Linked DNA regions of Caenorhabditis elegans. The protein of the gene in region 3 interacts with the protein of the main gene of each other region in a pairwise test. Each region holds a gene or a part of one and is shown on either strand. Other genes may lie near its edges.

Region 1 (7,394 bases), on a different chromosome or scaffold from region 3:
CCACGTTGCTCGGTAGCATGATCAGAAGGACGCCGAGAAGAAGTGATAGGATAAGGAGACGACTGCCAAGAAGATCAAGCCATGCTTGTTCTTTCTAATAATGTTCTTTATATTTCGTTCCTGTTCAGATTTCTTATTCCCCCCTCCCCATTCGGTTAATGTTCTTCTCTCTCTTTTCCTTGTTCAGCATATCTACTAAGTATCCCTCTCTGACGAGTTTTATATTGGTTTTCGAGACAATGAATGTTTTAAACGTTATATTGATGTTATTAAATGTGTTATTCAGTCAATCGGAAGAAAAACTAGATAAAAACAAACTATTCAGCTGAAATTCATCGAAAAAAGAGGAAATTTTCGGTTTTTCTCAGAAAATCAGTGGAAACATAATGAGAAACATAAAATATGCACTTTTTTATTTTTTAAATTACTATTCTCTATCACAAAACATTTTTTTTCGACTTTTATTCGCTTAAATAATGAGAAAAGCGCTTTTAGCCAGAGCTGATATTGACGAATTGTCGTCAAATAAAATGCGCGTACGCAAAGTACGCAATAGTGTACAAAACTTATTCGCGTTGAATATTCAGTCAGCCAAATGGGACTACTGTAGAAATTTCTTCAGCCACGTTAGCTTTGCCTCCCCGTGTTTCGGGGAAATTTCCAATATGATTTGCGCGTAAGATATGATGCATGTACGCAAATACCGAGATTTATTGCACAATATTGTGCGCGCTACGCAGAAATGGCGCGAAACTCGTAGAATGCTCATTCTTGCAACCTGCGATCTATCAAATTTCGCCCCTCCACTGGTTTTGATGTTCTACGTTTGCACTTTTCGGACAATTTTTCAATTCAAAATTAAAAAAAAGGAGACCCGAAGAACTCGGGGGATGTCCAATTGGGGGGATTACCAACTCGGGAGTTTGGCCCCGCCCACAGAACCGTGGCTTGCAATACGCCCATTTCTGCAACTGCCGCACGGTTTTAAAATTATTTTTTCTTGTTAATTCTCGCTCTATTGAGAAAAATACAGTTTTAAAACCGTGCGGCAGTTGCAGAAATGGGCGTATTGCAAGCCACGGTTCTGTGGGCGGGGCCAATCCCCCGAGTTGGTAATCCCCCCAATTGGACATCCCCCGAGTTCTTCGGGTCTCAAAAAAAGTACACTTTCTCCTTCATTCCTTGAGGAATTTGTATCACAAGTAGTTAATTATTACTGATTTCCCAGCTCGCACATTGTTTTTACTACTGATACGTATTTACTCTTTTTACTCTTCTGTCTGAAAAAAAAAGCGAAAAACACACTCTTTTCAACTGCGTCTCTTTCAGAATTACTCTCCATCGTCGCCAGACACTGGTTGCCTGGAATAGGTATTAGAGATTTTGCCGTTTATTTTTTTCTTTTTTTGTCAGTGCACTGGCCAATGTAATGCCAAAATTGCAAACAGTTCTCTATGCAAATATTAGTTTCTCGCTGACTCATTCCATCGATTTTTTATTTCGCAACACGCTACCATCATCATATTCCAAACATAAATCATCATCGGTTGTCGCCGAAAAGTTGCGAAAACTCGCTGAAAAAACCAGTAAATGTCGTGAAAATCACGTGAATCCTTTTAAAATTTGAACTTCCCGCCGTGTACAGTTTAAAGTGCGTGTGACGCAGCAAGTGCGCTCCGTTGAGAATCGTGCACTCGAGGCGTTTTTGTCCCAAAATTCAATATTTGTTGGCCTATTTTTCACATTTTCCGATAGGTTTTTTGTTGAAAATGCCAATTTTTATACTAAAAATCTATTTTCCTCAGCGATTCCGCGTATTCCCCAGGCGTTTATCTGCAAAACCGACTCGCTTTCATCTTTTTCCTTCTCAATTTTGAAATTTTTAGCACATATTCTGATTTTCAGGGTTCCCTACAATGGACGTCAATCAATTCACTGAGCTCATCACAAAACTGCAGTCAGCAGACAATGATATCCGAAAACAAGCTGAAGAAGTCTATGAAAAGATTGAAGGACCAACCAAAGTAGCTGCACTTTTCGAGGCCTACACACACCACACGAATAATTCTGATGTTAGTTCACTCAAATTCCTATATATTCCATGAATTTTCGATTTTCAGGCCAGATCCACAGTTTTGGTGTTTCTGCGACGAGTTCTCGCCAGAGACTGGGATGCGATTTGGGAAACGCTGAACGAGGAGAACAAACAGCGCATTCTCGCCAAAGTTCTCGAGATGATAGTTCACGAGACCGAACTCTCGATTAAGAAGAAGATTGCTGATTTGATCTCTGAAATCGCTTCAAACCTCATCGACGATTCTGGAGATATGACATGGGGAGGAGTCCTCGAGCTGATGGATCATTGTTTGAAGAGCGAGGATCTTACCGGAAACTACATAGCCCTGCTTATTCTTCGCGGATGCCCAATAATTTTTGGAAACAGGCTGGCCCACTTCCTTCCAACCCTCAAAGTTGTCTTGGAAAAGTGCATGGCTACACCGGATTTGCAAATCAAGGCCACCGCCGTCCGTGCTGTTATCGCTTTCGCTGTTGATAATGATGAGGAGAAGGATGTTGTCAGGCTTATGACCTCTCTTGTTCCAAATGTTCTTCAAGTTTGCAATGAAACCAGCGACGAGGATGATTCAGATGGACCACTCGGAGAGTTCGCCGAGCTCGCCTCTTCTCTGCCAAAATGCCTTAACACTCATATGTCTCAGGTTCTTCAAGTCACTCTTGCTGTAAGTAATTTAAATGGCCCAATTTAAAAATTTCATTTTTTCAAATTTCAGATTGCTGGAAACAAGGAAAAGAACGAGATGGTCCGTCAGAACGCCATCGAAGTTATTTGCTCGTACATGGAATCCGCACCAAAAGGACTCAAGAAATACGCACCAGGAGCTCTTGGACCAATTCTCGAGACTCTTCTTTCATGCATGACCGAAATGGATGACGATGTGCTCAATGAGTGGCTCAACGAGATCGAAGAGGAAGAAGACTATGAAGAGTAAGGATAAATTTTTAGTTTTTCTTCAATTAAATTATTTTTCAGTATCCCAATCATCGCCGAAAGCGCCATCGACCGTGTTGCTTGCTGCATCAACGGAAAAGTGATGCTCCCAGTGTTCCTTCCACTTGTCGAGAAGCTTTTGACCAGCGAAGACTGGAAGATGAAGCACGCGGCTCTTCGCGCGTTCTCCGCCGTCGGTGAAGGGTGCCAAAGATCTATGGAACCACACATAGAGCAAATTATGGCTCATATCACCAATTACGTCAATGATGCTCATCCAAGAGTTCAATACGCGGCTTGCAACGCCATCGGACAAATGTCTTCTGACTTCGCTCCAACTCTTCAGAAGAAGTGCCACGCCGCCGTCATACCAGCTCTTCTCGAGTCTCTTGACAGAACCGATGTTCCACGTGTCTGTGCTCATGCCGCTTCGGCTCTTGTCAACTTTGCCGAGGAGTGCCCAAAGAGCATCATTGGACAATATCTTCCATTCATTCTTCAGAAACTCGAAAATGTGCTTTCCGCTGTGTTCAATCGTCTCGGAGACAAGAGATACCAGGTTGTCGTTGAGAACATCGTCACCGCCATCGCCTCCGTCGCTGAAGCCGCCGAGGAGCTCTTCAAGGAACATCATGCTCGCCTCATCCCGAACCTCGTTCACATTCTTCAAAACGTCGGAGAGCTCAAGGAGTTGAGAGGAAAGACCATCGAATGCATCTCTCTCATCGGATATGCTGTCGGAAAGGAACAATTCCACGCTACTGCAATCGAGATCCTGAACCTTCTCGGAGACGGAATGAAGGATTTGGCTATCGATGATCCACAATACAGCTACATGATCAGCTCATGGACTCGTTTCTGCTCTATTCTTGGAGCCGATTTCGCACCATTCCTCCCAGTTGTCATGGATCCAGTTCTTCGTGCCGCTCGTTACCGCCCAGACTTCAATATCTTCAACAGTGAGTGTTTTTTAGTTTTACGTGTTAAAAAAATATATAAATTTCAGACGAAGATGTTCACGAAAACGAGGAAGGAGTTGAATACCACGGAATCGGAGGAGAAAAGACTGTCGGAATCCGCACCAGCGGTCTTGAGGAGAAGGCAACTGCTTGCGATATGCTTGTCGCGTTCGCCAAGGAGATGAAGGAGGCTTTCATGCCATACGTCGTCGACGTCTACGAGCTCGCCATCAAGAATCTCGATTTCGGACTTCACGACGGAGTTCGTACGGCTTCCGCTGAAATCATGCCATGCTTGTTGACCTGTGTTGAGAAGCAAGGATTGGCTGACAAGCGTCGTTTGTGGTGCGAGTTCTTGAAGGCATTGACGACCTCTATGGAGGAGGAGGACGATGTCGAGATTCTCGCCTCGTTCATGACGACCATCGGATCGTGCATTGAGGTTATGAAAACCGAGGGAATCGCCGAGGAAGAGGTTCAACTCATCATTTCGGTGCTTCTCAAGCAACTTGAAAACTACGGAAAGAGAATGAGCGATCGTCCAGTTGAAGATGAAGATGACGATGATGCTGAAGCTAAGGAGGAGCTCGATTATTTCATGGAATTGGAGGCCTCATGCCTTGGAGCCATCTCTGATTTGACTCACTCTCTTATGAAGGAGTTCAAGGGAACTATCTTCGAGGGAATGATCAACGTGTTCAACTGTGCCATTCAACTCATCGAGGGATCCAAACAATACTTCGAGAGACAATGGGGAATGTGCCTTCTCGATGACGCCATCGAGTTCGGTGTCGGACATATGCCAACTCGCTTCCCGAAGCTTATTCCAATAATGTACAAGTTGTTGGGAGATGAGTATCCTGAAGTGAGACAAGCAGCGAGCTACGGTTTCGGAGTTATGGCCATCAACTACCACCAGATCAGCGACTACCGAAACGAGATTTTGAGCTGTTTGGAGCCACTGGCCGCCATGATTCAACGAGAGGACGCCCGAGCCACCGAGGAGAGCACTGTTGCCACGGAAAACGCGATTTCTGCATTTGCCAAAATCATCGGCAATGTGCCACTTCCTGCTGAAGCCTACGGAAAGGTTGGTTTTAGAATTCAGTTTTTCAAGAAAAAAGTTCCATATTATTTCCAGGTCGTCGAGATGTTCCTGAGCTGGTTGCCAACATATTCAGACACCGAGGAAAGCCCCTACATTTACACGTGTCTCGCCGAATTGTTTGATAAACAAGACGCCGCACTTTTTGGACCAGAAAATCAGAATCTTCCGAGAATCTTCCTTGTTTGTAAGTTCTAATCTAAAAAAATCCGTAACTTATTTTATTTTTATTTGTATTTTTCAGGCTTGCTCTCAATCGCCAACGATGCTTTCAACGACGACGATAGCGGCAACCAAACCAAGCAAAGAATTGTCACAATCCTGAAGCAAATCTACGCATCGTTCCCACAATTCGCGCAGCAAGATGGAATCGACGAGCACCTTACCAGTGTCCTTCAACAAACTCTCAATGGGCAATAATAAGGACTTTTGTTGTGTTTTTTTTTTTGCTGTTATCTTCTCCATCTTCACCGAAATGAATCTTGTTCACTGTTAATCGCTTGTTTCGCGGCTATCCTCCTATCATCATCATCAGTTTCTTCTTTTGTTCCACCACTTCTCCCCGATGCCACATTTTCTCTAATTTTTATTAGTTACCTATCGACTTTTTTTCTGTTGTGTTGAATATTATCCTCATTTTCAAATCTACTCGTTAGTTGTTACAGTTAAAGTTTTTGAAAATAATTTCAGCCAAAACCTCCACTTTCTCCTATACTCCAAATCTAAAAGTCATTCTTCCGTAGTCCTCATTGTTCCCCCTTCCACCCAACTCTCTCCCACCACAGAATATCTCTTCTGTCACTTGAAGACTATCCTCGATAAAGAGAGCTATTGGCGGTTACCCCCTCTTCTCTTCTCTTCTCGTTTGTCATTGGAGCGCGCTTACACGCAGCAAACTGTAGCTCTTATCTAGTTTTGCGATAGAATTCCGTTATCGTGAAAAGTTGCAATTTTGACATTCTCGTCCTAAATTTCCAATTGACAGCGCTTTGACTTTTTCTATGATTTTTTAATTCATACTCAATTCTGAATAATGACTCCTGAAGGGCAATCGACGAGGTGAGAGAAAAATCGATAATGTTAAAAATTCGCGGGTTTTTCGAGAAAATATTATACGTTTGTGAAAAAAATTCGAATCGAGACCCAAACGAGGCGGCATGAGTTTCTGAAAAAAATATATATATGGATTCAAGATTTAAAAAGTGCATTGTTTTTAAATTTATAATGCTGGAAATATTACCCAAATGCGAAAATACGGTACCAGGTCTCGAAACGACCAATTTTTTAAAAATAAAAACAAGCGTGCGCCTTTAAGGGAGTACTGTAGTTCTCACATTTGCAAATTCTTTCAAAAAAATCATGATGCTTTGAAAACAACTATCGATGAAAATTTAATTTTTTGAAAAAATTGATACAACTTTTTTGGTATATGAAAAACGGGCAATATTTTCGGAATTTCGAAAATTAAATTAAATTTTATGAAAAGTCGATAAAAATCGATACATTTTTGTTTGAAATTGCACAAATTCAAATTTTAGAATCTAGAAATCTATAAATTCAAATTTTTTAATCCAGAAAATCGATTATTTTCTCAAAAAATTGAAAATACTCTTCAGATTCATCTTTTTTGTGGAATATTCAAATTTTTGGGAAACCTCTGATTTTTGAAAATTCCATTTTTAAATCAGAATTATTACGGCAACACAAAATTCTGAGAATGCGTATTGCGCAACATATTCGACGCGCAAAATATCTCGTAGCAAAAACTACAATAATTCTTTAAATGACTACTGTAGTGTTTGTGTCGATTTACGGAAATCATTCATTAGTCGATAAATTGTTTTTTAAAAAACACAAAAAAAATGAAAAAACCGAAACCCCGTAAATCGACACAAGCTTTACCGTAGTGATTTAAAGAGTTACTGTAGTTTTCGCTACGAGATATTCTGCGCGTCAAAAATGTTGTGCAATACGCATTCTCAAAATTTCGCGGTCTTGTAATAATAGTGATCATGCCACTCAATACATCAAATTTGACGCGCAAAACTCGACTTTTCAGCAGTAACCCACCTCCTGTTCAATACTATAACACGTTTCCGGACGATGATAATTTACCGCCAGAATATGGACCATTTGATGAAGTTGAGCCGCTTATCGAGGCCGAGCAACCCATGAAAATCCGTACTTTAGTCGCGGCGGTCGGCTTAACGGTTCTCGTATTCACGTTGTTAATCTCAACGGTCGCATTCGCTTCATTGTATTTTCATTTACTAATGCAGGTTTGTTAGAAAGCTAGGCCACGAGGGTGAAAACTAGTCCG
Region 2 (9,225 bases), on a different chromosome or scaffold from region 3:
ATTTCCACATTTTTTGTAGATCAAACCATAAAGTGACTACCTGACACCACGTGGGCACGGATTTCTTGCTGGCCGCATAAATTGAAATGGAAGAGTTTGCCGAACTAGGCCATATTGGCTCGGCCATATCTGGCGGTAGATTTACGGTGCGTTGCGTGTCGCGTTGCGGCTCGATTTTAGTTGTAAAATGAAAAGTATTTGTCCGTGTGGAGTGCACGACTTTCCTATGCGTTGTCCAGTTGTCAATGGAGCGCGAAAAGTTCAATGAGGAAGGCCAGAGCCCCAGTGCTTCCTCACTGAACTTTTTGCGCTCCATTGACAATGGCCAACGCGCGGAAAAGTCGCATGTACTCCACACGGACAAATAAATTAAGTTTTACAACTAAAATCGAGCCGCGACGCGACACGCAGCGCACCGTGTGGCTGAGCTATATGGCCGAACCGAAATGGCCTAGTTCGGCAAACTCTTCTATTTCAAAATATGAGGGAGCCTAGAAATCCGTGTATAATTGAAGGAATAGGTTTTGTTTTGTGTCTACAAATGCCAGCTGCTGCCAACAAGAATTTGTTTTGGGAAACAATCGAATTCTAAGAAATTCAGTTAACATTTGTTTTGATTCTATCCTTCCTTATTTTTCAACCCGACTGGCAATGAGTTCCTTGCAAGAATATTGTCTCTATCTCTCCAATTTTCCAAATGTTCAAAATCCGAAACGTTCTTGTGTTGTTGGCAAGGACTGGCCTATACCTCCCACGCAATTACCGCCGTACTTGTATCATTTCACATATTAGGCGGTTACTGTATTCTGCTCAAGACCCCACCGCAAATGGCATCTTATCGATGGCCATTGTTTAATTTACATTTTTGGTGAGTTCTACAAAATTGAAAAAACTGTTTTTTTTTAAATTTCGCTCTAGGACATGTTTCGTGGATATTCTGCTCGGTGCGCTTGTGACCCCCTATTTATTTTTTTCCGGCTCTGGCTTGGTTCACAGTTGGGCTATTGAGCCTGCTGGGGGTGCCTGATTCTGTTCAAGTTGGCCTAGCATCCGTGTTTGTGTACTGTGAGCGACGAAAAGAAACAGCGAAATGTTCGCTTTTTTTTTTCTAAAAAAGGCAAAAAAATTGAGGATAGGCCGCGCTGCACACGAAAATGCAATCGCGCTCTAACGTCAAAGCTCCGCTCCTACAAGTTGGGTCTCGTTAGGTATCGGCGGTAAAACCGTAGTTTCAAAAAATTTCAACTATTTTCGTCGATTTCCAAACATGGTGTCAAGATGTTCCATAGCGACTTGATCTACAAAAAATAAGGGAAATTTTTCCACAGAAAAATTACCTCATCACACTCTAAACCATGCGAATTCAATTAAGAAATGTGCGTCTAAATTACCGAAGCGATTATTTTTTATTTCATAAAACTGTTCAGCATAATCAAATATACCAGAAAATACCAAACAACATACTCTAGCTTGTACGGAAGTTTATTTTAAAAAATTTCAAAACTTAACCAAAAGCTGTTATATTCAAAAATTCAAAAGTACGGTAAAATGGTATGGAGTCATTCTTTTTTATTTCATAAAACTGTTCAGCATAACTAAGTATACCAGAAAATACTAAACAACATGTTGTTAATTAAAAAAGACATTTTTTAGCAGTTTTTCTTCAGATTTTATTACGGACACACTAAATCCTGAGAATGCGTATTGCGCAACACATTTGACGCGCAAAATATCTCGTAGCGAAAACTACAGTAACTCTTTAAATGACTACTGTAATGCTTGTGTCGATTTACGGGTTTGATTGTGTCATCACTGTCACTGTTCGAAAATAAAATCATTTCGAAAATCGAGCCCGTAAATCGACACAAGCGCTACAGTAGTCATTCGAAGGATTACTGTAGTTTTCGCTACGAAATATTTTGCGCGTCAATTGTGCTGCGCAATACGCATTCTCAGGATGTAGTGTTCCAGAAATATCTAAAATATAAATTTATTTAAAAAAATAAATTTTTAGCAGTAAAATTGAATTTTTTTAATTGTATTAAACATTTTAATAATATTTTATTATTGAACTAGAGGTTGTTTCATGAAATAATTTGAAATAATTTTTTTTTTCAATTTTTTCGAAAAAAGGTAATTATTTTTGAATTTCTGACGATAATTTAGCGATTTCTGGCTTGAATCACCTTTTTCTTTCAAATTTTCAGACTTTTTTTCCGGAAAAAAAGTAAAATCATCGATTTTTACGCCAAATTTTTTTTTCTAGTGGTATTTTTTTTCTAGTGGTATCAATTTTCCTTCACGCAAAAAATATCTGAAAATTAGATGAACGGTGTTTTAAGTGTTTTAAATCGAAAAATCAAAACAAAAACAATTAATTTTGACAGAAAATGGGAAAAAGTCAAAACGTTTCATTTATTTGCGCAGGAATTCGAAATTAATTCATCCACTTTTCTTATATACTTGCAAAATTCTTTTTAAAAAATCATTAAAAAATTGAGATAAAAAGTTTTTTTTCAACAGTTATATTATGTTGTTACGGCCAATTTTCTATGCTTTGAAGCAAGTTTTCAATATAATTTGTTCTAAATTTGATCTTAAATGAATTTTCTTTAAAATAATCTGCAATTTTTAGGAAAAACTGTTTTTCAAGCAAGAAAAACTAAATTATTTATTTATTTTTAATTAAATTTAAATTCAAATCCGCTACGGCGAGTACGGTGCGCATCGGTGTTTGCGTACTCGCCTACCGTACCCTCGGTGTTGTTGGCGCGAAAATTTTGTTTTCCAATTTTCAATCATGGCGCCAATTTCTGCATTTTCGGTGCAATAAACCACTTGTTTTCGTCAATTTTTTGATTGTCTTCTCCAAATTTTTATCAGTCATTCTTCACTGTTCACCTTCGTAGCCGCCGGTGACACCGAAAATGTCGGATATTGCTGCTCGTTTTGGATTCTTCAACTGGAACAACGTGCGCCCGGTAAGTAATTCGCTGATTATTTCATGCTATCAAGCTTCTTCTTCATCATCTGCTTCATCTGCTTCATCTCTTCATAAGCCAGAAAATCATAAGAAAAAAAACAGCGAGCAGGCAGGGATTTAAGTGAGTGTGTGCGTGCAAAATGGGGAAACGGCCGGCTGAATCTTGCCGAAAAACACGTACGCTTCACTTCAGGCTTCTCCTTTTCGCTTCTCGCCGGCACACACACACACACACACACATGTCAGTCTACTTTTCCCGCCACTTTTCTTCAGCCCATCCTCTTCCTCTTCTATAGGACTTCGGCTCCCAGCTCTCGTTTCACTGGTCATTTCATTTCATAAGCGACGGTGAAAATTGGAATCTATCGAACCTATACGCCTCAAGAATCGTTCACCTTGCCCCCTCCAGCTCGTCGCGTTGTTTGTGCGGTGATTGGTCCTCACTGTACATATACAGTGTTCAAAAAACGGAAAAATACCCGTTTTGTTGTTCTGCTGCACCGCCCGTCTTCTCATTGATATCATAACAGGAGGCGGTGATGATAAGAAAGTCGGGAAATTAATATTAAAGCTTCTAGAAACAGATTTTTCCTCGCCAAAAAAAAAATAAAAAATCTCTTGATTTCTTGGTTTTTCAATTTTTCAATCTTCAATCTCGTCATCTTCTCGACAAAAAATTTGAATCTCCGCCTGCTTCTCTCTCTCTCTGTTTCCCTATCAGTGTCCGTCGGGGTCACACACAACATGTATTTTTCTCTACATCTCTGCTTCTCCCAGAGTTGTTTTCCTCTCCTCACATTTTACACACACGCTCACAAACCCCTTCGCATCCTCTCCCCATCCATTTTTTTTAGATGGCTCGGGCCTCTATGCTCTTTTTTCGATTCCACATAAGCGTGGCAGCTCCCCGAAAGTTTTCGGAACTTTTTTTCAAATTTTCTCAATTTCCAATGGCATCGATCATTCACGTGCACACACTCGTCTCAGTTGAAAAAGAATTGATAAATCGGCAGTGACAAGAATTGTTTATCAAACACAAAGCGGCCATGTCTACCGATAGTCTTTTCCATATTCGAACAGATTTCCGCAAGATTTTAATTAATTAATTCGAGTTGACAGCACAATCTTTGAAGATTCGGTTTTGCGACAATTAAATGCTTTTCTTTGACAAAATCATAAGTAGAAAAGCTTTAAAGTTCAAGCTTCAGGCTAAACAAAAAAGGCTGTGAGCAAAGAACAAAGTCTTCCGTAGCCCAGAAGAAAGTGCCCCTCACTTTCATTAATTTTTTTTTCGATTTTCTTGGGCCGACCGGGTGATAAAAATACACCGAAATATCCTGTCGTCGTCTACTGATTGTTGTTTTATTATCACTTACGCGTTATCAGTTTATCGGTAGTTTTCTGCATGTTGACTGACCGCCGACACGGTCAACACTGATATTATTCGACGTTTTAGCCTGATCAGTTTGAAGCGATGCATTTCACTCCTCAATGATCAGCGAAAATATTTTTTCTTCGATTTTTTTTTTGGTTCAAGGAGGAATGCTTGCTTGTATAGGATCAAAACTTCGCAGAAAATTACTAATTTTAGCTAAGATCCCCAGTTTTGCCAGCTTTTCCGTGTCGCAGTGCTCAGAGACTAACTTTTATTTGATTATCATCTTTTATTGCATATTTTCATCACTTATTTCGTTGATTGAGGCATTTTTGGTCCCTTATCGGCTTAAATGCACCTAGATCAATGAAAAAACGTTGGATAAATGCCCAATAAATGATGTTAATCAAATAAAAGCTAGTTTCTGCGAACTGCGACACGGAAAAGTTCGCAAAACTAAAGGTTTTTGCGGAAATTTGCGATTTTTTTGAAAAATATAGCAAATCCACGTGGCTTTCATACTTTTTTCAAAAATCTTTCATCTTGGAAATCACGGGGCCGGCCCCTGCTATCAATATTGATTGTTGACTGATCACTGAACTGCCCCCCTCCTGTTGACTTTGTACTGCGTCGACTACTATCTCGCAACACATTTTGTTTTCTGGCCTGACTCGCCATTGCCTGCAGTGTTCGAAATTTTTGTTTGTCCACCATTCTTATCACAGTAGCCGAACAAGTTATAATTTTCACCACTTTCCGCTCATTTTTTCTCCCAAAAAAACCAATTTCCAATTTTCAGCAGCCCGTGGTTGCCGAATCGACTGCCTCATCGTCGAGTCCGAAGCTGTTCAGCATGATCACCAACGATCACGATCGTCGCAAGCAGATCTCCGTGCGCGGAATCGCTCAAGTGGAGAACGTGTCGAACATCAAGAAGGCGTTCAATCGCCACCTTCACTTCTCGATCATCAAGGATCGTAACGTGGCCACCGATCGCGACTACTACTTCGCGCTCGCCAACACTGTCCGCGATCATCTCGTGTCTCGCTGGATACGAACTCAACAACACTACTATGACAAGGATCCGAAGCGGGTCTACTATCTGTCGTTGGAGTTCTACATGGGGCGAACGCTGTCGAACACAATGATGAACCTCGGAATTCAGGCGACCGTCGACGAGGCGCTCTACCAGCTCGGTCTAGACATTGAGGAGCTTCAGGAGATCGAAGAGGACGCCGGGCTCGGAAACGGAGGACTCGGACGTCTCGCCGCGTGTTTCCTCGACTCGATGGCCACGCTGGGTATTCCGGCTTACGGATACGGGCTTCGCTACGAGTACGGAATCTTCAAGCAACTTATTCGTGACGGATGGCAGATTGAGGAGCCAGACGATTGGCTTCGCTTCGGAAATCCATGGGAGAAGGCTCGTCCAGAGTACATGCTTCCGGTCAACTTTTATGGAAAAGTTGTGAAGGAGGATGTGAGTTTTGATTTTTTGGAGAAAATTAAATTTAAAAAAATAAAAAAGGAATGGGCCGAACTGGGGATTGAACCCGGGACCTCTCGCACCCAAAGCGAGAATCATACCACTAGACCATTCGGCCATGTTTGGAAATCGTGTTTGGAAGCAATCAAGATGCACAATAATCGATAATTGGCTGATTGCGAGAAATAATAAGATTCGATATCTCTTCATCACCAGCTTTCACGTATCTAATCGTGGCCGAATGGTCTAGTGGTATGATTCTCGCTTTGGGTGCGAGAGGTCCCGGGTTCAATCCCCGGTTCGGCCCATTCCTTTTTTCTTTTTTTCGCTTACTTTTTTTATTTTTCATTAAAAAATATATTATTTCAGGGAAAATCGAAATGGATCGACACTCAAGTTGTGTTTGCCATGCCATACGACACACCAGTCCCCGGATACAAGAACAACATCGTCAACACGCTTCGTTTGTGGTCCGCCAAAGCCGAAAATCATTTCCACCTCAAGTTCTTCAACGACGGAGACTACGTGCAGGCTGTGATGGATCGTAACTTGTCCGAGAACATCACTCGTGTCCTCTACCCGAATGACAACGTATGTTTGAGCTAGATTTTGGCAGAAAAAAAAAATCAATTTCCCCACATTTTCAGATGTTCCTCGGAAAGGAGCTCCGTCTCAAGCAGCAATACTTCCTCGTCGCCGCCACCCTCCAGGACATCATCCGCCGCTTCAAGTCCTCCATCTACGGAAACCGCGAGGCCGTCCGTGTCAACTTCGAGACCTTCCCGGATAAGGTGGCCATCCAGCTCAACGACACTCATCCATCGATCGGAATTCCCGAGTTGATCCGTCTCCTCATCGACGTCGAGGGACTCACCTGGGATCAGGCCTGGGACATTTGCATCAAGACCTACGCCTACACCAATCACACCTTGCTCCCAGAGGCCCTCGAGCGCTGGCCAGTGTCGCTTATGCAGAATTTGTTGCCGCGTCATTTGGAGATCATCTACGAGATCAATCAGAAGTTCATGAACACCATCTCGCAGAGATTCCCAGGAGATTTCGACCGTATGCGTCGTATGTCGATTGTCGAGGAGGCCGATCAGTTCGGCGAGAAGCGCATCAATATGGCTCATTTGTGCATTGTGGCTTCTCATGCCATTAATGGAGTCGCGGCTCTTCACTCGGATCTTCTCAAGAGCTCCACGTAAGCGAAAATGCTCTGAAACCTGGCGCTAGAACCAATGGGCGACGCATCATTTTGCAGCTCCGCCGCACGAATTTATTTTGGCTGTTTTTCGCATGATGTTTTGAAAGATTTCGATATGTGAACTCGATAAAATCACGAAAAATTGATAATTTGTCATTGAAAATTCGGACAGAAAGAGAAAAAACATCGTGCGGCGGTGTTGCTAAATCGCGCGCCGCAAATTGCAATCCCGGCCCGCCCAATTTTTCTTACGCGCAAATTGCAAAATTACCATTTTAAAAAATTAATATCATCCATTTCCAGCTTCCGTGACTTCTATGAGTTCTACCCGGATCGCTTCCAAAACAAGACGAACGGAATCACACCACGCCGCTGGCTTCTTCTCTCCAACCCATCTCTCGCCGACCTCATCGTCGAGAAGATCGGCGAGTCGTGGATCACCAATCTCGACGAGCTTCAGAAGCTCAAGGAGTACGCCAACGATGCCGGGTTCCTCGATTCGATTCGTCGTGTGAAGCTCGAGAACAAGCAACAAGTCGCCCAGTATTTGAGCGACGAGTACAATGTCAACGTGAACGCCGCTTCGTTGTTCGATGTGCATGTGAAGAGAATCCACGAGTACAAGAGACAGCTTCTCAATATTCTCCACGTCATTGCTCTCTACAATCGTATCAAGGAGAACCCGAACATCGATATGGTTAAGCGTACCGTGTTGTACGGAGGAAAAGCTGCTCCAGGATACCATATGGCTAAGCAGATCATTCGTTTGATCACCGCCGTCGCCGAACAAGTCAACAATGATGCCATCGTTGGTGATCGTTTGAAGGTCATCTTCCTCGAGAACTACCGTGTCTCGATGGCTGAAAAGATCATTCCAGCTTCTGATCTCTCTGAACAGATCTCGACCGCCGGAACCGAGGCTTCAGGAACCGGAAACATGAAGTTCATGTTGAACGGAGCTCTCACAATCGGAACTCTCGACGGAGCCAACGTTGAGATGGCCGAGGAGATGGGCGACGAGAACATCTTCATCTTCGGAATGAACGTCGAGGAGGTTGAGGCGCTCACAAAGCGCGGATACTCTTCGCAGGAGTTCATCGACAAGAGCCCAATGCTCAAGCAGATCATCGAGCAAATCGAAGGTGGCATGTTCACTCCAGAAGATCCAGATCAGCTCAAGGATCTCTCCAACATGCTCCGCTATCATGATCGTTTCATGGTGTGCGCCGATTTCGACGCTTTCATTGAAGCCCAGGATAAGGTAAAACTCAAAAAATTCAACTAATTCAAATTTTTACTGATCAAAATAAATTATTTTCAGGTCTCCGCTACATTCCGCGACCAAGAGAAGTGGTCTCGCATGGCCCTCTACAACATCGCCTCGACCGGAAAGTTCTCAACAGATCGCACAATCACCGAATACGCTCGTGAAATCTGGGGAATCGACCAGTTCGAGAGCTCTCTTCCAGCACCATATGAGAATGAGAAGAGCGAATAATTCTTCTATGCACTAACATTGTAATTAATTATCGCCATAACTTCCCCTCCTCTCCGTCCCATTTAGTTTATAGCATTTTTATAGAAGCCTTTCCCTCCCCCGATAATTCTTGTGAATCTTCAAGATCAAATTGATTTTGTCCTCTCTGCCCCCAGTCCAATAATCGTACTTCCCCCGAATGTGTTGCCATACTTTGAGATTGTCTATTTGCACGTCTGCCCTGCATATTTATGATAAATTGACTGAAAATATCAACTTTTTTTTTTTAATTTTGACTCGAATCTGCAAATGCTGAAATTTAATTAAAAATTATGGCTGTCTGAAGGATCTTCAAAGAAGTTTCGATACCTCTACGACCAGCTCGTTAGCAAAATACCAAACTCCTTTTCGATGAGTTTTCAAAATTCCTGGATAAATATCCTGAACTTTCTACATCAGAAGACCATTCGCAACGTAAAATTATTGATTCCAGGAAGTTGAAGTTCAGATCCACGACAATCAGACTATGATTCACAACTTTAACAAAACATTAGCAATTTCATTTTTAATAACAACAGTTTATTCAGAAAATAGAAAAACTTAACGACGACGGAAGAAGTTCTTCTTGACCTTTGGCTTTGGTGGCAGAATGATTCCATCGTACTTTTGCTGGAACCATTTGATTGTCTCCTCCTTA
Region 3 (7,238 bases):
GAAAGTAGTGGTAGATTTGATGGTGGAGGAACATATGTCACTTATACAAATGGAAAAGATTCCACCATTTTTGTAGAAACCATGGTAAGACTTTAATATTAATTATGAGAAATTGCTTCAAATGATTTGAGAATAAACATTTAATTCAAAAAATTTCAGAGTTACAAGAAATCTTTATGCGAATATTCATCTCCACGGCCATACCATGTCAAGCCAAGTCAACTTATTCGATTTAAATTCTCTGAAATTCCATCATTTCAAGGATTAAATATGTCATTAAACTTTGGACCTTCAAAGTTCTTTTCAAAATCTGTCAATTCTACAATTACCATTCTTCTTCCTGTTAATTCATTTGGAATACTCACTACACTTCCAGTTTCAACTCCGAAAAGAGTTACTATAAAAACACCATTGGTTCCTTTGAATTATCACGACGACTTTGAAAATTATGAATTCGACGAGGAGCCAAAGTTTTGGATGCCACAAAAAGGATCATGGGTGGTACGAAATGGACGGGCGGTACAGAAAGTGACACGCCCATCAATTAGTTGGTGCACCTCACACATTCGAACTCCATATGCAGTTATGGCGTAAGAATTGATGACTTTGACCTATGAGGAACTACAGTATACCGTATTCCCTCTAATATTTTTACACCTCTTTTCTCAACTTTGGCAGCTCATATCTCAGTAGTAGTTTGTTCTATAGAAAAGTTGTCAACTGATAAAAATTTAGATAGATGTTTTTTCTGTAGTTTGTAGTTTGTTAATTATTTATATGTCCAAAAAGGAGATATGAGGTGTCAAAGTTGAGCAAAGGGGTGCAAAACTAATAGAGGAAATACGGTATACGGTATTCCTTCCATTTAGGTATCGAAAGAAGAATAGTATTCTAAACGCCGAGGTCAATATTCCAAAACACTCAACAGCTAAATCCATCATTCTAGGTATAAGGAGTAATTGTAGTGGTATGTAATTAGTGTTGTGATTCATATTAAAATCTATTACATTTTCAGGATGTGACATAGAAGTAATAAACTGTCGTGGAATATTTGTTGAGATTGAATTTTCAAATAAAAAAGTAACTATATTTTCCGATTTCGTTGACCGTTCAATAATTGCTGAATTCAAAGCACGAAGAAAAGTAGAATTTGGAAAGTTTTATAAATTCTCAATTCATTTACTGGACTCGCATCTCTTCATAAAATTCGGAAATCATCATGTGATGACTTCAGTGGAAATTCCAGAAGAACAATTAAATAAGGTTATTAAAATAATCAATTGAATTTCAAATATAATGTTTTCAGACAAATAATGACACTTTATTCGTGATTGGCACTGGAAATTTTGGCATCTCCGAATGGGATAATATTTCAACAGATTATTTTCACTGAGGCTGATTAATTACATTCAAAAAGTATTTAATATTGCTTGGGCATGTTTCTATTAAAATAAATGTACCATTTTATAATTTACCACATTATTGGAAAATGTCAAAATCAATTGCCACAAAAAACTAGATTCAAACTTCCGCGCAAATGGTACCGCAACGATGCTCCGCGTTTCGCTAAACAACGCGCGCCTCACGCGCGCAGTTTGAATTGAGAACGTTTTCCTGTTTTCTTTTTTTGTCTGAATTGTGTTATTGTGCTATTTATTATCCCTTTTTTGTACATTTTCAAAATTAAAGTATGGCCTCTGCTGTTGGAAAAGGAGTGACCGCTTTCAACACCATCAAAAACATCATTTCGGAACTGAAAAAGGTCGACAAAACATTCTCCCCGAATTCGGCACAATATAAATACCTCATGGAGCAAATGAAAGCCGACCAGGTTACAACAAGAAGATATTCAAAAGCCGAGAACGAGTCAGAGAGCGTTGCAAAACTCTATTTGAGCTATATTAAAGGGTTCGTTTGTTTTATGAGAATAAGAAAGTAATAATCAATATCCATTCATTTTAGAACCCGACAGCTTAATGAACTTCAAGAGAGATATAAGGGTGGCGAGAAGAGTGTTGAAGAGGCTGCTGCTATTGTTGGATTGAAACTTCCAGAACAAAAGAAACTTTAAAATACTTAAAATTGTTATTTCTTTCTCGAATAGATTAGATTCCTGTTTTCTTTTCAATCAAAATAAAATACTTCGTTTTTAAAATACTATTCAGGTTTTTTATAACTTCCTTATGGTTTTCGTACCATTCTATATCTTTTTTATAGTTAATCATCGCCAGAGCATTGGAATTGTTGTTTCAGGTACAAATGACTAGGAATGCTCCTCCAGGTCAAGAATCGACAGATTTAGCATGGCTCGTCACACCCGCAAAAGATCTTGTCGAGAACTTCTCAATCGACGTGTTGAAAGTAAGGATAATTTTTTTTCACGGTTGTATCTTTTCTTTTTCGGTAAATAAAATAAATAATTGCTCGACTTTCAGGCACTCGCCGGATACCTCGAGGTTATCAGACAAGAAAGTGAAGACACAGATAATCAGGTGGATGCAGCGACAACTTACAGATTGTTCGATTTTCAACGAGCATGCCGGATTATTCAAGGATCGTGTGCCGTATATGGTCGAAAAGTAGATCATGTCTATGAACTGACGATTTCAGTTGTGGATTTAGTCGAGAACAAAGGTCAAGATGATGGAAACACCGGCAGTAGACGAGGAGCTGGAAGACGGAAAAATTTTAATTTGGGATCGACGAATTACGACTTGGCTGATATCGACTCACTGAAACAGGAAGCTCTAGCAAATTTTGAGAAGACAGTAAAAGAAGAGAAAAAATCGATTGATGCAGTGAGAATGGTCGAGAATGCTGAAGTTATAGAGTCTCAATATGAGCGAAAAAGCTGTTTAGTAGCAAAGCCAACCCAGTTCATGTTCAAGCTCAATTACGGCCAGCTCAATCGTACTGATGAACAAATTTTGAATGCAAAATCTCGTCCTGATGTTATCGGAAAAGTAAAAGATTTTGAAATTAAAAAGTCGAAAGTTAAACACGATCAACAAATACTCTACTCCCATGATTGTTATCGTGGAAATTTAGACCAATTCACACTACCTGGTGCTCGTTGGATGCCAGATAATAAGGAATTGGCAGCTAATTTTGGTGTTGCTGATTTGGAAGTTGAGTTAGATTTGGAGCAAGAGCATGAGAAGATCAGTGCATATGGACCGTTTAAGGTAAGTGGTAATAATTCGATGAAACATTTTCAAAACTTGATTTCTTCAGGATCCTCTCTCTGGCCGTGAAGTTGTTCCACCTCCTCGTTGGTTCATAGAGCAAGAAGCAGTTCGTCAAAATCAAGAAATTCAATCTCGTGCCACATCGAGAGCCATCACAATTGCAGCTAAAACTCTTCGAGATTCTCAAGGCTTTGGATCTCAACCAACTCGTCTCTCACAACCATTTGTTGAACGACATCGACAGAGTAATCATTTGAATGATTTCTTGTCATTTGTGGAGGGAAGAGTTAATAAGAATCGCCCGAGCACTCATCTTACCACTGGCTTAGTTGATATGTTCGTTGATAACTTTGGATCTGTTATGCAAAACGATGAACCAAACACTAGTAGAAGACCTGATGAGAATTACGCGCCCATGGACTTTGATGATGATTTTGGTGGTGGAGGAGACGATGACGACGATGATTATATTCGAAATTTGTCCAGAAGGGATGAGAAGCGAGCACCGGCACCATGGGACGAGCTGGATAAAAATCATATTATTTGGTACACGGGAGACGAGAATCTGCCAGGTATTTGTTGAATTAATGGGATTCTTTCGGTATTTTTTAGATTATATATATATATGAGCCGTGGACCGCACCTCCGGCGCGGCCCCCGACTTCTGGAGCTGAAAACCAATTTTTCTGAAACTACCGTAATCATACAGTACTCCTACCGTAATCATACAGTACTCCTACCGTACCACCATTGTACCACTACAGTACCCCGACTATATCCCTACACTAACCCCAACTCACTATCCCTCCAGAAGCTAAAACTTCGCAGACTACAAAGACTACATAGACTACAAGCTATGGACAAACGGAATAAGCGCTTTATATATAGTAAATGATATATTTCAGTCGTTAGCAAGCCGGTAAAAAAGATCACGAAATTCCAACCAAAACCCGCTGAAATGTTGGCTAGGAAGCAACGACGTGAGGAAAAGATCAATAAGTCTCGACGAGACGAGTTCATGGAAACTCACGACTATCTGCAGGATTACTACTATTGGAGAAGTGCGGCTCGTATAAATCCGATTAAGGACTGGAAGATAGAATCACTTCGTACTGCTATTCTAGCCGAGAAGAAACGAAGAATCAAGGAAAAGACTGCAAAAATCCGAGAAGCTCGTATCCAGAATATGCAGAGAAAACGGACAGCTCGTGTGATACCCGTGGAGCAATTTGAACCGGTAACAGAGGATATTCCAACGTCTAATAGAAGAACCCTCGGAGCTGAATGTAAGAAATTTCAATTTTATGAAATTTAAACTGAATTATATTTTTTCCAGATGACGACGTAGTCGATGAAGATCTTGCTGCCGAAGTCGAGCTCTCAATGTTTGGAGGTGGGTTCGATGACGACGAAGAAGACGTGCGGCCACGTGGTGAACGGCCTCCTATGGCTCCAAACAACCTAGAATTCGATGCTCTTCAAACAGATTTTGATATTCCGCCTGCTGAATATGTTCCATTAAGATTCGAGGATATTGATGATGCCGAACTGAACAGTGTTATCAATTTACCTGGAAATTTGCTCATCGACAGTAAGTTATTTGCAAAATTTTATAATAAAATTTTAAAATTAATACTTTGAAATTGTACTCTCTCAAGTCTATCAAGTAAATTTTCTATTTACAGAAGCTTTACCATTGCTCAAGAAGTTTGCTGAAAATCGAACAGATCGCGAACAAATGGCTTACGAGATGGCTAAAGCATATGAAGATGTGGATGTTGCCGTGTCAACTCTACAAGAACATGTTGACAAATGGCATTCTCGAATGGAACCAATCCTCGAAGAAGGAGAAACTCGAAAAGAGTATGATGTATGTTTTAGAGTATTTAATCTTAAAGGTGGAGTAGTGCCAGTGGGGATTTTGTCTAAATACACTTATAGTGATTCAAAACAACCGAATATCATAATAAAACACTCCAAAAAGTTTTAGATTTTTCATAATTTCCGGTCAAAGTTTTGGCAAATTGCCAAAATTTTGAAAAATATGAGCTTTTGAGGTTATTTAAAGAAATGTCGTATGTTTCGACCCCTACAATGTTTTAATACAATTAATTTAAACAAAATTAAAACAATAAAAAATGTAATAAATTTTTTTGGTCGACTTCCAAACATATGAGTGGCAAAAACTGAGTAATTGCCAGTTTTTGACAGTAAATAAAAAAATTTTCAAAAGTTTTATCATGATATTTGGTCATTTTGGAACCAAAGGAGTGGTTTTTAACAATTTCCCCACTGGCGCTACTCCACCTTTAATATTCTGGTCAACCACAGTAATTTGAAAAGTCAAAATGTCTAAATGTTTGAATTTCTCAATTATAATAATTTTCAGGTTCACGCAGTTGGTCGTGCTGTCATTGGCCAATACGATATTGAAGGTGGCACGAAACGTTTACTAGATTTGGTTATGGATCGTCCATGGTACGAAATCAGTCGATACTTCCTTTCGTGCCTCTTTATGTGTAATGTCGGAAATGTCATGGTCAGCGAGGACATGGAACTGCCACTCGAGGAAAGAATCAACTCGATGAAAATCACACTACTCAAAAGAGATATGCATTGTGAAATGTTCAAGGAGGCTGGCGCTCTTGATGCCTAATTTATAATTATTGTTTTTTTTGCATTAAATCTCCCGAAAACCATCTTAATTTATTTAAACATTCCTCATTGTCTCTACTTGTATCTCGATTTCTGGCTATACTTTCATTTTACTGTATCAATTAATTAACTTCTAGATGCCAAGTATTTTTCTTCTGTTCGTTATGGTACTTTACTGACTGTACAATAACTTTTTTTCCGACGAATTACCACTATTTCTTTGATTGTTTTTTAATTACGTCCTTCATTTTTTATTCAATCTTAAAAATAAATCGACTGGTTTTAATATCAAAGGCCCAAATCATAATTCAATTCCTGGTGCGTGGCATATGCGTTCATGAATGCAGCGCCATGTTCCAAAGATTGGGTGACGGATTGAACAACATCTGAAGAAATCATTTTCTGGAACCATTTTGTCAATTTAGGATATTCTTCTTCTCCTGGGAATTCAATTGTTGGTAAATCGACAACTCCATCCAAACTAGCTGACCACCAAATTTTCTCAAAAAATGGAAATGATAAGTAGTCTGGATAACCTGGTTGAGATCCTGAATAGTTTGAATTTGGTCAAAAAATTGTATCGATTAATTGAACTCACCAGCATAAAAATCATTGGCCAAGAGATTTTCAGCTTGTTTCAAAACTTCAAAAACTTTTCGCTGCTTTTCATCTTTCAAAGTTCGGTCTCGCATGACGGCGAAGAGCAATGGAACTGCATGGGCTACCTGAATTGCTTATTTAAAACAAAATAGTTTAGAAAATAGAAAAATTCAAGATCATATTTGAATTTCCTCCAAAATGAATAGCCACGCCCACTCTCAAACCAATCAGAGTTTTGGACTCCAAACACTCATCTGATTGGTTGAAAAATGGGCGGAGCGAATAACTGATTTTTTATATTAGAGGAAGTTCAAAAAGGGGATTAGAAACTATGTATGTTTCCTTCCATTTTTAAAGGTATTGGTATCGCTGCGCCTTCAAAACAACTGTAGAGACGTGCAGATCTTTTTTTTTATTTTAAAAGTTTTAGTTAAAGTTCTGGTAAATTGGCAAATTTCGAATAATGTGCTTTTAGTAATTTCGAGCATTTCGGAAAGTGAAATTTAGAACTCGTATAAAACAATCATTTTTTGGACGACTTCCAAAATTAGGATAGAAGGAAACTAATGGTAAATAATTGCCATTGCATTAGTCTTAAACCATGTTTATTGTTTTTATATATAACACTTTTTATTTCTTTTGAAAAACAAAATAAAACCAAACCGCAGTTAACCTGTCCGCTAGCAGCTTTTGTTGCACCTTTTCGTACGGGTCAGTTGGAAGAATACGAGTTTCTGGAAATGCATCATCCAAATATTCAGGAATAAATCCAGACTCAATGACCACTTTTCCATT
Region 4 (7,227 bases), 4.5 Mb from region 3:
TTTGTCCTCAAAATTCGAAAAATAAAGTTTTTCCAAAAAAATCTTTGATTTGCACTAGAGACATCGACAAAAATCAGCTTTTCAGAGCTGAAATATTCGAAAAATGAATATAAATTGAAGGGGCGGAGCTTATTTGCAAGCCTGGAACGGTTTTTCCGCAGCCCTGCCGCACGTGCTAAAAGGCTCCGCTCTATGAAATTTTTTGCAGTTTTTGAGTGATTTTGACAAGTTTTCTGTATTTTTTGTCTATTTTCTATTGGAAAACATTTGATTTAATCGGAAAAATATATATATTTGAATTTTTGAGCTGAAAAATTAATTTTCTTCACGAAAATATTGTCCCTGGGCCTTTCAGGCATTTTTTTTCTAAAAATAAAACATTTCCAAAGAATTCTGTATTTTATGGTCTAGAAATTCGAGTAAAACTGGCTTTAGAGCTTAAATATTCGAAAAATTATTATTTGAGGGGGCGGGACTTATTTGTCTGACACGGTTTTTCCGCAACCCTACCGCACTTGCGGGTTTTTTCTTTTTTTTGGTTTTTCAGTGTTTTAAAGCCTAACTTGTTAAGAAAAAACTTTTTTTTTGCAGTATTTCTACGGAACCCGTGCCAACAATCTCTACCCATTCACATTTGACGTCAGCTTCGATGACGTCACTCTTTGTAAAATCGGAGCCGAGCAACTGCCCGATTCATGTCTACCATTCGGAATGGAAGTTGAAAATCATGAGACAAAGCTGGTTATCATGGAGCCCAGTGCCGACATTAAACATCATTTGTTCGCGTTCTCGCGGAGCACGAAAGCCGACGAAAATGTGCTGAAATCGCCGGTTTTTGGATTTTGTCTTGTCACGGAGGTTGGTATTTCGTCGAGTTTTTGGGTCTCGAACGGAAATTTCAATTTTATCCAAATTTCAGGTTGATTTGGAGAAGCGAACAATGTCAATTCTCTGCCCACAGCGTACAATTCCATCGAAAGTTCTCGTCTTCTCAGATATCACCCATCTTGATGATCAAATAAAACGATAATTTATTTCTTTTTTTTCCTAATCCCTATTTATTTGTTTCCCGCCCTCAAAATAAATCTCATTCTTCAATGCATTCACAATTTATTGGATTGTCACCAGTGGGGAAAAATCGATGCCGGGACAATGTGAACAATATAGTTAAGTTTTAAAGACAAAAATTATGAATGATAGTGTGTGGGGGGTACTTATGAGAACAATGGGATTTTGAGAGAGATGGGGGGGAAATAAGGAAATTATTTTTTTAAAAACCTTACCAGACAAATATAAACTACACTTAAAGGACTATAGATGACAGCAGATGGGGATGAATAAAACTAGGTTCATAAATAAAATTGGTGGTGGGGAATACTAACACAGAGTGCTGGGTGGGGAGGAATAACAATAATAAAATAATTTAAATAATCAGCAGAGGATTACATCTTCGATTGAGCATCCTGAACAGCCGTCTTGAATGCTCCGGCGGTCGCCTCGTCCTTGAATTTGGCGGTGAAGATGGCTGGATCAGCGTTGGAGGCGTCTTCTGAGAAGTCCTGAAAAATAAGGAATTTATAGTACATTTTTATATAAAAAGAAATTAAAAATTGCTACCTGGCACATAAATGTGAGCACATTTGGCAAGTTTGGCTTCGGACTGAGCTTCATCGACTTTTCGATACGGAAATTGGCACAGAGCTTATGGACTTGCTCACGACGCATCACGATTCGATATTTGTTGTCATTGCTTTTCAGGAGCTGAAATAATAAATTATTTTTCTCAAATTTAGCCTCTATGAGTCAAAAATCAGTTGTTTTCTTAATAGTTTTCATTAAAATTTAGTGAAAAAACATAGAAAATACTTGCAAAACAGTTGAAAAGTGCGCAAAACTAGCACTTTTCTTAACTGTTTCAACTGAAATAAGTTATTTTCTACGTTTTATCACTAAATTTTAATGAAAACTATCAAAAGAACATGCCAAGCTGGCTCATTTTGATATAAAATCCTAAATCTGACCTTAATATCTCCGAGTCCACGTTCCTTATTCTCCTTGAGATCCGAATAGTACTTATAAAGCTTGCATCTGGCGGAGAACATGACCTCCTCGTCCTCTTCACCAGTTTTCACCTCAACCAAATCCGGAAGAGGAATAACTGGCTTAAACTCGACTTCTGGCTCATACTCCCCATCTCCATCCTCATTCGTCTCATCACCATCGTGTGAAGTTGCAGAAGTCGTGTTCAACGTGGTGTTCTTGCTCCCGAAAATGCTTGCCTTCTTCTGAGCAGCAAGTTCTTCTTGGGCCTTCTTGACATTTGCTGCGTCGAAAATGGAGCCAGATTTGGCAGAGTTGGCTGAAAGGGCAGCGAATGTTGCACCTCCAGACGTGAATCCACTACCGAACACGGATTTTGGCGTCTCGGACTGTTTATTTTCTTCTTGTTTAGCTGGTGCAGTCGTTGATGGAGTCTGTTGCTTTCCGAATGAGAAAGTTGGCTTTGGGAAGGCACTTTCAGAATTCTTGGCGAACATAAACGACGGAGTAGTAGTTGAAGAAGCTGTAGATTCAGTCTTGGAGAGTCCACCTCCGAACAATGAATTTCCTGGAGTCGTAGAGGTTGCCGGAGAAGCAGTTGAAGCTGCAGGATTGTTGAAATTGAACGATGGGGTAGTTGCATTGACAGCGGCAGCTGGCTTGTTGAATGAGAAAGTTGGAGTATTAGCAGCACCTCCACCGAAAACGCTTGTTCCCTTTGGTGTTCCACCACCGAAAATGCTACTGCTAGTGCTTGGAGATCCGCTGAGTGATCCACCGAACTGAGATGTTTGAGCAAGAGGTTCCTTGGCTGGAGCAGATGCTCCGAATCCGAATGTCACTTTTGGAGTTCCTGGGGCAGGCTGGAGGATCGAAGGTCTGCAAATTTAAATTTTTAATTTTAAGATAACTCAAATAGAATATTTACTTAGAGAATATATTTTTCTCTTTGACAGATCCGTCTTTCGATGTCCCACAACAGGCACATTCAATCTCGTCAGCTTTGCAAGTAACATAGCATCCAGGGCATTCCCAAGATCCTGGTTTTGGCTTGAACTGATCTCCAAATCCAGTCTCTTCCGGTTTGTTGTTTGATGGAATCACAACTTCTTGCTTGACTTCCTTCTTCACCTCAGCCGCCGGCTTGATTTCCTTGTCGATGGTCTTTCCAGCGTTGCTCGATGATTTTGCCTCAGCGACAGCCTTCTCGAACAAAGTCTTAAACTCTCCAGCGATATCGACGTTAGCGAAACGAGCGGAAAGCTTCACGTGAGCTGGCTGATCTTCGGAAAAGTCCTCGCAGAACCATGTGTAGGCCTTCTCGTTGGATTTCATTTGTTGAATGGTCATCGAGCCGAGAATTGGGAAATTGGCACAGACTTTGAGAACCTGTAATTTATTTTAATGCTAAATTAAGGTATTTAAATTTAAATTAAGATCTTTCTGTTGAGGAAAACGCCGAAAAATGTGAAAAAAGCTGTAATTGGAATAACCTGAATATTCCAACACAATTCTTCGGTTCCATTCTCAATATTTGAAGGGAGTGTCTCCTCCGAAATGGTCACCTGGTCTCGTCGCATAACAACTCTCCACGACTTCTTGTCCTTGTTGTAGAGAACCTTCAGCTCGCCGGTTCCTCGCTCCTTCCATTCCTTCGTCTCGTTGGCATAAATGTAGAGTTTTGAACGATTGCAGAACATGGTTTGCTCTCCTTCTTCTCCAGTTTTCACCTCGACAAGATCTGGCAGTGGAATGACTGGCTTGAACTCGCCCTCTGGCTCGTAATCCTCATCATGTTCTTCGTCTTCATCATCTTTAGCTGCTGGAACCACGACTGGGGAAGCAGTTTCAGGCTTTTTACCGAAGATTGAAGTAGCTGGATTGGTCCCGCCGAATGAGAATCCGGTGGTGGCTGGCTTTGGAACAACTGCAGGCGTTGGAGTAGAGAATGTTGGCTTAGCAGGTGGAATTACAACTTCTGGTGGAGATGTCTGAAAAATATTGAATTTTTAATTGCTGGAACTAAAACCCGAAAATTTGTTACCTTTGGTGCAATAACTCCAGAAGCTGGAACTGTCGATTTTGCTTGTGCTGTAGTGGCGACCAGTGGCTGTGTAACGGGAATAGCTGGCTTCGCAGCATTGAGCAAATTAGCCATAACTTGGCTTTGGGCCTGTGCTTGGGCTTGAGCTTGAGCGTGAGCATGAGCTTGAGCTTGTGCTGCCTGCACATGAGCCATCTCCATTTGTCGCTGAAGAATCAACATTTGCTGTTGTTGCTGAAGCTGCTGTGGAGGAATCATTGAGCCGAGAGGATTCGCATCACGAGCAAGAAGAGTGTGTATAATTTGATGAAGTCTCTCGAGCTCTTTTCCGTGATTAGTGCTCAAATCGGACAACTGCTTCTGAAACCGATCCTCGGATCGACGAATATCATCGCGAAGCTGGGTGACGCCGGTCTGGTGCTCAATCTGTGAAAAATAAGTATTAAATTGAGTTTTTCATGAATCGCATACCTTCAACGAGTCCATGCTTTTGATAAGCGAGTCAAACTGCATTGTCATCAACTGCTGCACATCCACGACGCTGGCGACAATGCGCCCCATATTCTGAAATACCGTGAATCATGTTGAGCAACATTCGAAAAGATTCACTTACCGGCTTCTGATCGCTCATTGCGAAAGGAGAGCTGAAATATGAAAAATATCAGGTAAACAATTCAAGAGACTTCAAGCTAAAGCGAGATAAAAAGACGAATACTGCGGTCTCTTTAGTTGAAAATTAGCAGCAATACTTCAAAGAATTCGCGCCAGGGATTTGAATTTCGAAATTTCGCGCCAACGCTTTCCCTGCTTAAAATAGGGCTTTCCTACCTTTAAAACTAGTCTTTTCTGTATAAAATATGCTTTTAAACGCACAAAAAATGTTTTCCAGCTATTTTTCGTAAAAATACGGAAAAACTATGGCGAAACAGTCTAAAATAAATAGAAATTGGGCGCCAAGCTTCGCAAATTTCGAAAAAAGTTCAAATTCCTGCGCCGTGGCGAGACCCGTTGCGTAAATCGACACGCGCGCCTTTAACCATGAGTTGGCAATTATTCATGGAAAATACCGGTTTTTCAGGCGAAAAACAGGATTTTTGATATTTTCCGTCGTTTTTTATGGCTTTTTCGGTTTTTGAAATGTCAATTTTGCCTGGAATAGCATTTATTATTCACTTTTCTCAGCGAATTTATTGATTTTTCATCAGAAACTTTCAAAATTGTGTTTTTTAGTGATTACAACAACAAAATGGAAGTAGACACAAGCTCATCGTCATCTTCAGAGGACGAATGTGACCCAAGCTCTCCGAGCACGGCATATATCCACTCAGCGTGAGTTTTTCGCTAAAAAACACAAAAAACAAACTGTTTTTTAAATGTTTTTGTTTCAAAATTAACATTTTCTGAAGTTCTAACAGCAGTTTCTAATCCGATTAATTCCAGAAGCGTACGATTATCCGTCGGAACAGAAGAAGCGGCTCGAACCGTGGCAGATGTCATAAAAATCGATAAAGAGCCGAGAAGAAGTGGTGCTCGACGGGAAGTGTGCAGCGAAGGCGAATTTGTAGTCATGTAATAGTTTTTCTATTCGAATAACTAAATAAATAAGTTAATTTTCAGAAAAATCGAATCAAAAGATCCGAAATCATTGTCAAAATCCATTGCCAACGCTGTTGATATGATCGATTTGTCCGTGAAAACTATCAAACTTTGTGAAAATCTGGGAAAATCGAAGGAAAACGGATTGAAAAGAAAACTCTCAAACGGATCTCAGGCTTAATTTGATTAAAATTTGTTATTTTTTCTGTTTTTGTTTTTTGAAATGAATTTTTTTCAACTTTTCATGATTTTTTCTTCTTAAAAATATGGTTTTTAACCTTTAAAATACTTTTTTTTTCGATTTTATTGCAAATTCCCCACTAAAAAATCGATTTTTTCAGGTTTAAATGTTCAAAAACCTGAAAAACCGGCTGGATAATGAAGCCGGAAAGCTTAAACAATCAGCTCAGCAGTATGGAGAACAACTCGCCGCTCAAGTTGGACAATATCGGCAGGCGATGGTAAAAATCCACTGAAAACTGAGAAAAAATCGATAAAATTGCAGAATGAGCAGCCTGCTGGCAGTGATGCATCCGCGTCGATTTCTAAAAGATTCACCGGAGAATCAGGAGAAACTAAAGCTGAAAATCCAGCAAATACCTCTATTGTGAGAGTTTTAACATGAAAAATTCTCGAAAAATTGAATTTATCGTCGAAAAACTATTATTTTCCAACCATTTTCGTGAAAATTTCCGGAAAAATGGATTTTTACTGTTGAAAAACAATTTCTTGTGAGATTTAGTTCGGAATCCAAAAAATGTACCAAAAACAGCAGAAATATGCGAAACAAAGAGATTTTTAAATAAAAATCTATTTCCAGCAGCTGTGAGACCGTTAAAATGTACGAATTTTAAGGTTTTATTAAAATTTTTCGCCATTTTTTCGAAGTTTTGCATCAATTTAATTGCAAAAAAAATATATTTTTTCCGCATCTAAATCACATTTTTGTATGTTTTCCATGTTTTTTACAAGAAAACTCAAAAAATACCAAAAAATATTTTTTTTTTCATTGGGAAAAACCATTAAAAATCAGAGATTTCGTTGAAAATGGTCACATTTTTACGAAAATGATCGAAAATGACTTTTTTTGTCGAAAAATTTAAAAAAGAGGAAATCCTGTTTCTCTTAAAAAAGAATTTTAAAAATTCAGAGAATATCGAAAATTAAAAAATGTAGAAAATTGATACGAAAATTAAATTTTTTTAAATAAAATTATGTTTATAATTTTTTTCTGAAAAAGAAAAAAATGTCAAAATTTGAGCTATTTTTTTCCAAAAAAATCGGAAAAATAAAAATTCGGTTTTCCCGAAAATCGATAAATTCGCAAAAAAAAAAATTTTTTATGAGAAAATTTTTTTTCTTCTGAAAAATTAGAAAAATGTCTGAAATTTAAGCTATTTTCAGGAAAATAATGAAAAAACGTTTTTCAATTAAACACACAATTTTTATCAATAAAACAGGAAAAACATGTTATTTTCATCTAAAAATAAGAAACAAATGGTCAAACATTTTGTAAAAATCTCTCTGAGACTCAATAAATTTCCAGG

What was found.
Region 1: the proteins of kle-2 (region 3) and imb-3 interact in a two-hybrid assay, tested with the Caenorhabditis elegans proteins (one large-scale study listed by BioGRID).
Region 2: the proteins of kle-2 (region 3) and pygl-1 interact in a two-hybrid assay, tested with the Caenorhabditis elegans proteins (one large-scale study listed by BioGRID).
Region 4: the proteins of kle-2 (region 3) and npp-9 interact in a two-hybrid assay, tested with the Caenorhabditis elegans proteins (one large-scale study listed by BioGRID).

The regions. Positions count from the first base shown.
Region 1 is NC_003279.8:309,501-316,894, reverse strand, and holds imb-3 (Importin N-terminal domain-containing protein), read left to right. Parts: upstream 1-1,905; 5' UTR 1,906-1,916; coding exon 1,917-2,072; intron 2,073-2,120; coding exon 2,121-2,741; intron 2,742-2,792; coding exon 2,793-3,007; intron 3,008-3,052; coding exon 3,053-3,969; intron 3,970-4,016; coding exon 4,017-5,059; intron 5,060-5,110; coding exon 5,111-5,261; intron 5,262-5,318; coding exon 5,319-5,494; 3' UTR 5,495-5,914; downstream 5,915-7,394. Other genes in the region: C53D5.5 (Gamma-glutamyltranspeptidase 1), read left to right, coding at 6,108-6,133, 7,134-7,353.
Region 2 is NC_003283.11:3,576,241-3,585,465, forward strand, and holds pygl-1 (Alpha-1,4 glucan phosphorylase), read left to right. Parts: upstream 1-2,901; 5' UTR 2,902-2,927; coding exon 2,928-2,981; intron 2,982-5,146; exon of another isoform or gene 5,147-5,157; coding exon 5,158-5,838; intron 5,839-5,890; exon of another isoform or gene 5,891-5,962; intron 5,963-6,079; exon of another isoform or gene 6,080-6,151; intron 6,152-6,213; coding exon 6,214-6,435; intron 6,436-6,491; coding exon 6,492-7,048; intron 7,049-7,354; coding exon 7,355-8,312; intron 8,313-8,372; coding exon 8,373-8,549; 3' UTR 8,550-8,802; downstream 8,803-9,225. Other genes in the region: rpl-11.1 (Large ribosomal subunit protein uL5A), read right to left, coding at 9,129-9,225.
Region 3 is NC_003281.10:7,939,464-7,946,701, forward strand, and holds kle-2 (Condensin-2 complex subunit kle-2), read left to right. Parts: upstream 1-2,253; 5' UTR 2,254-2,259; coding exon 2,260-2,361; intron 2,362-2,435; coding exon 2,436-3,185; intron 3,186-3,234; coding exon 3,235-3,760; intron 3,761-4,093; coding exon 4,094-4,474; intron 4,475-4,524; coding exon 4,525-4,779; intron 4,780-4,873; coding exon 4,874-5,058; intron 5,059-5,577; coding exon 5,578-5,844; 3' UTR 5,845-6,130; downstream 6,131-7,238. Other genes in the region: C29E4.10 (Putative galactocerebrosidase), read left to right, coding at 1-84, 160-590, 870-967, 1,016-1,263, 1,307-1,393; C29E4.12 (Protein FMC1 homolog), read left to right, coding at 1,691-1,908, 1,963-2,071; gsto-1 (Glutathione transferase omega-1), read right to left, coding at 6,132-6,391, 6,442-6,568, 7,107-7,238. UniProt on the Caenorhabditis elegans protein: Regulatory subunit of the condensin II complex, a complex that seems to play a role in prophase chromosome condensation and in chromosome segregation in mitosis and in meiosis.
Region 4 is NC_003281.10:3,399,549-3,406,775, forward strand, and holds npp-9 (Nuclear Pore complex Protein), read right to left. Parts: upstream 4,729-7,227; 5' UTR 4,716-4,728; coding exon 4,698-4,715; intron 4,649-4,697; coding exon 4,556-4,648; intron 4,511-4,555; coding exon 4,085-4,510; intron 4,032-4,084; coding exon 3,534-4,031; intron 3,430-3,533; coding exon 2,969-3,429; intron 2,920-2,968; coding exon 2,022-2,919; intron 1,762-2,021; coding exon 1,618-1,761; intron 1,560-1,617; coding exon 1,443-1,559; 3' UTR 1,096-1,442; downstream 1-1,095. Other genes in the region: Protein clpf-1, read left to right, coding at 592-858, 920-1,030; F59A2.5 (L antigen family member 3), read left to right, coding at 5,331-5,413, 5,525-5,653, 5,702-5,861; golg-4 (GRIP domain-containing protein), read left to right, coding at 6,028-6,141, 6,186-6,287, 7,227-7,227.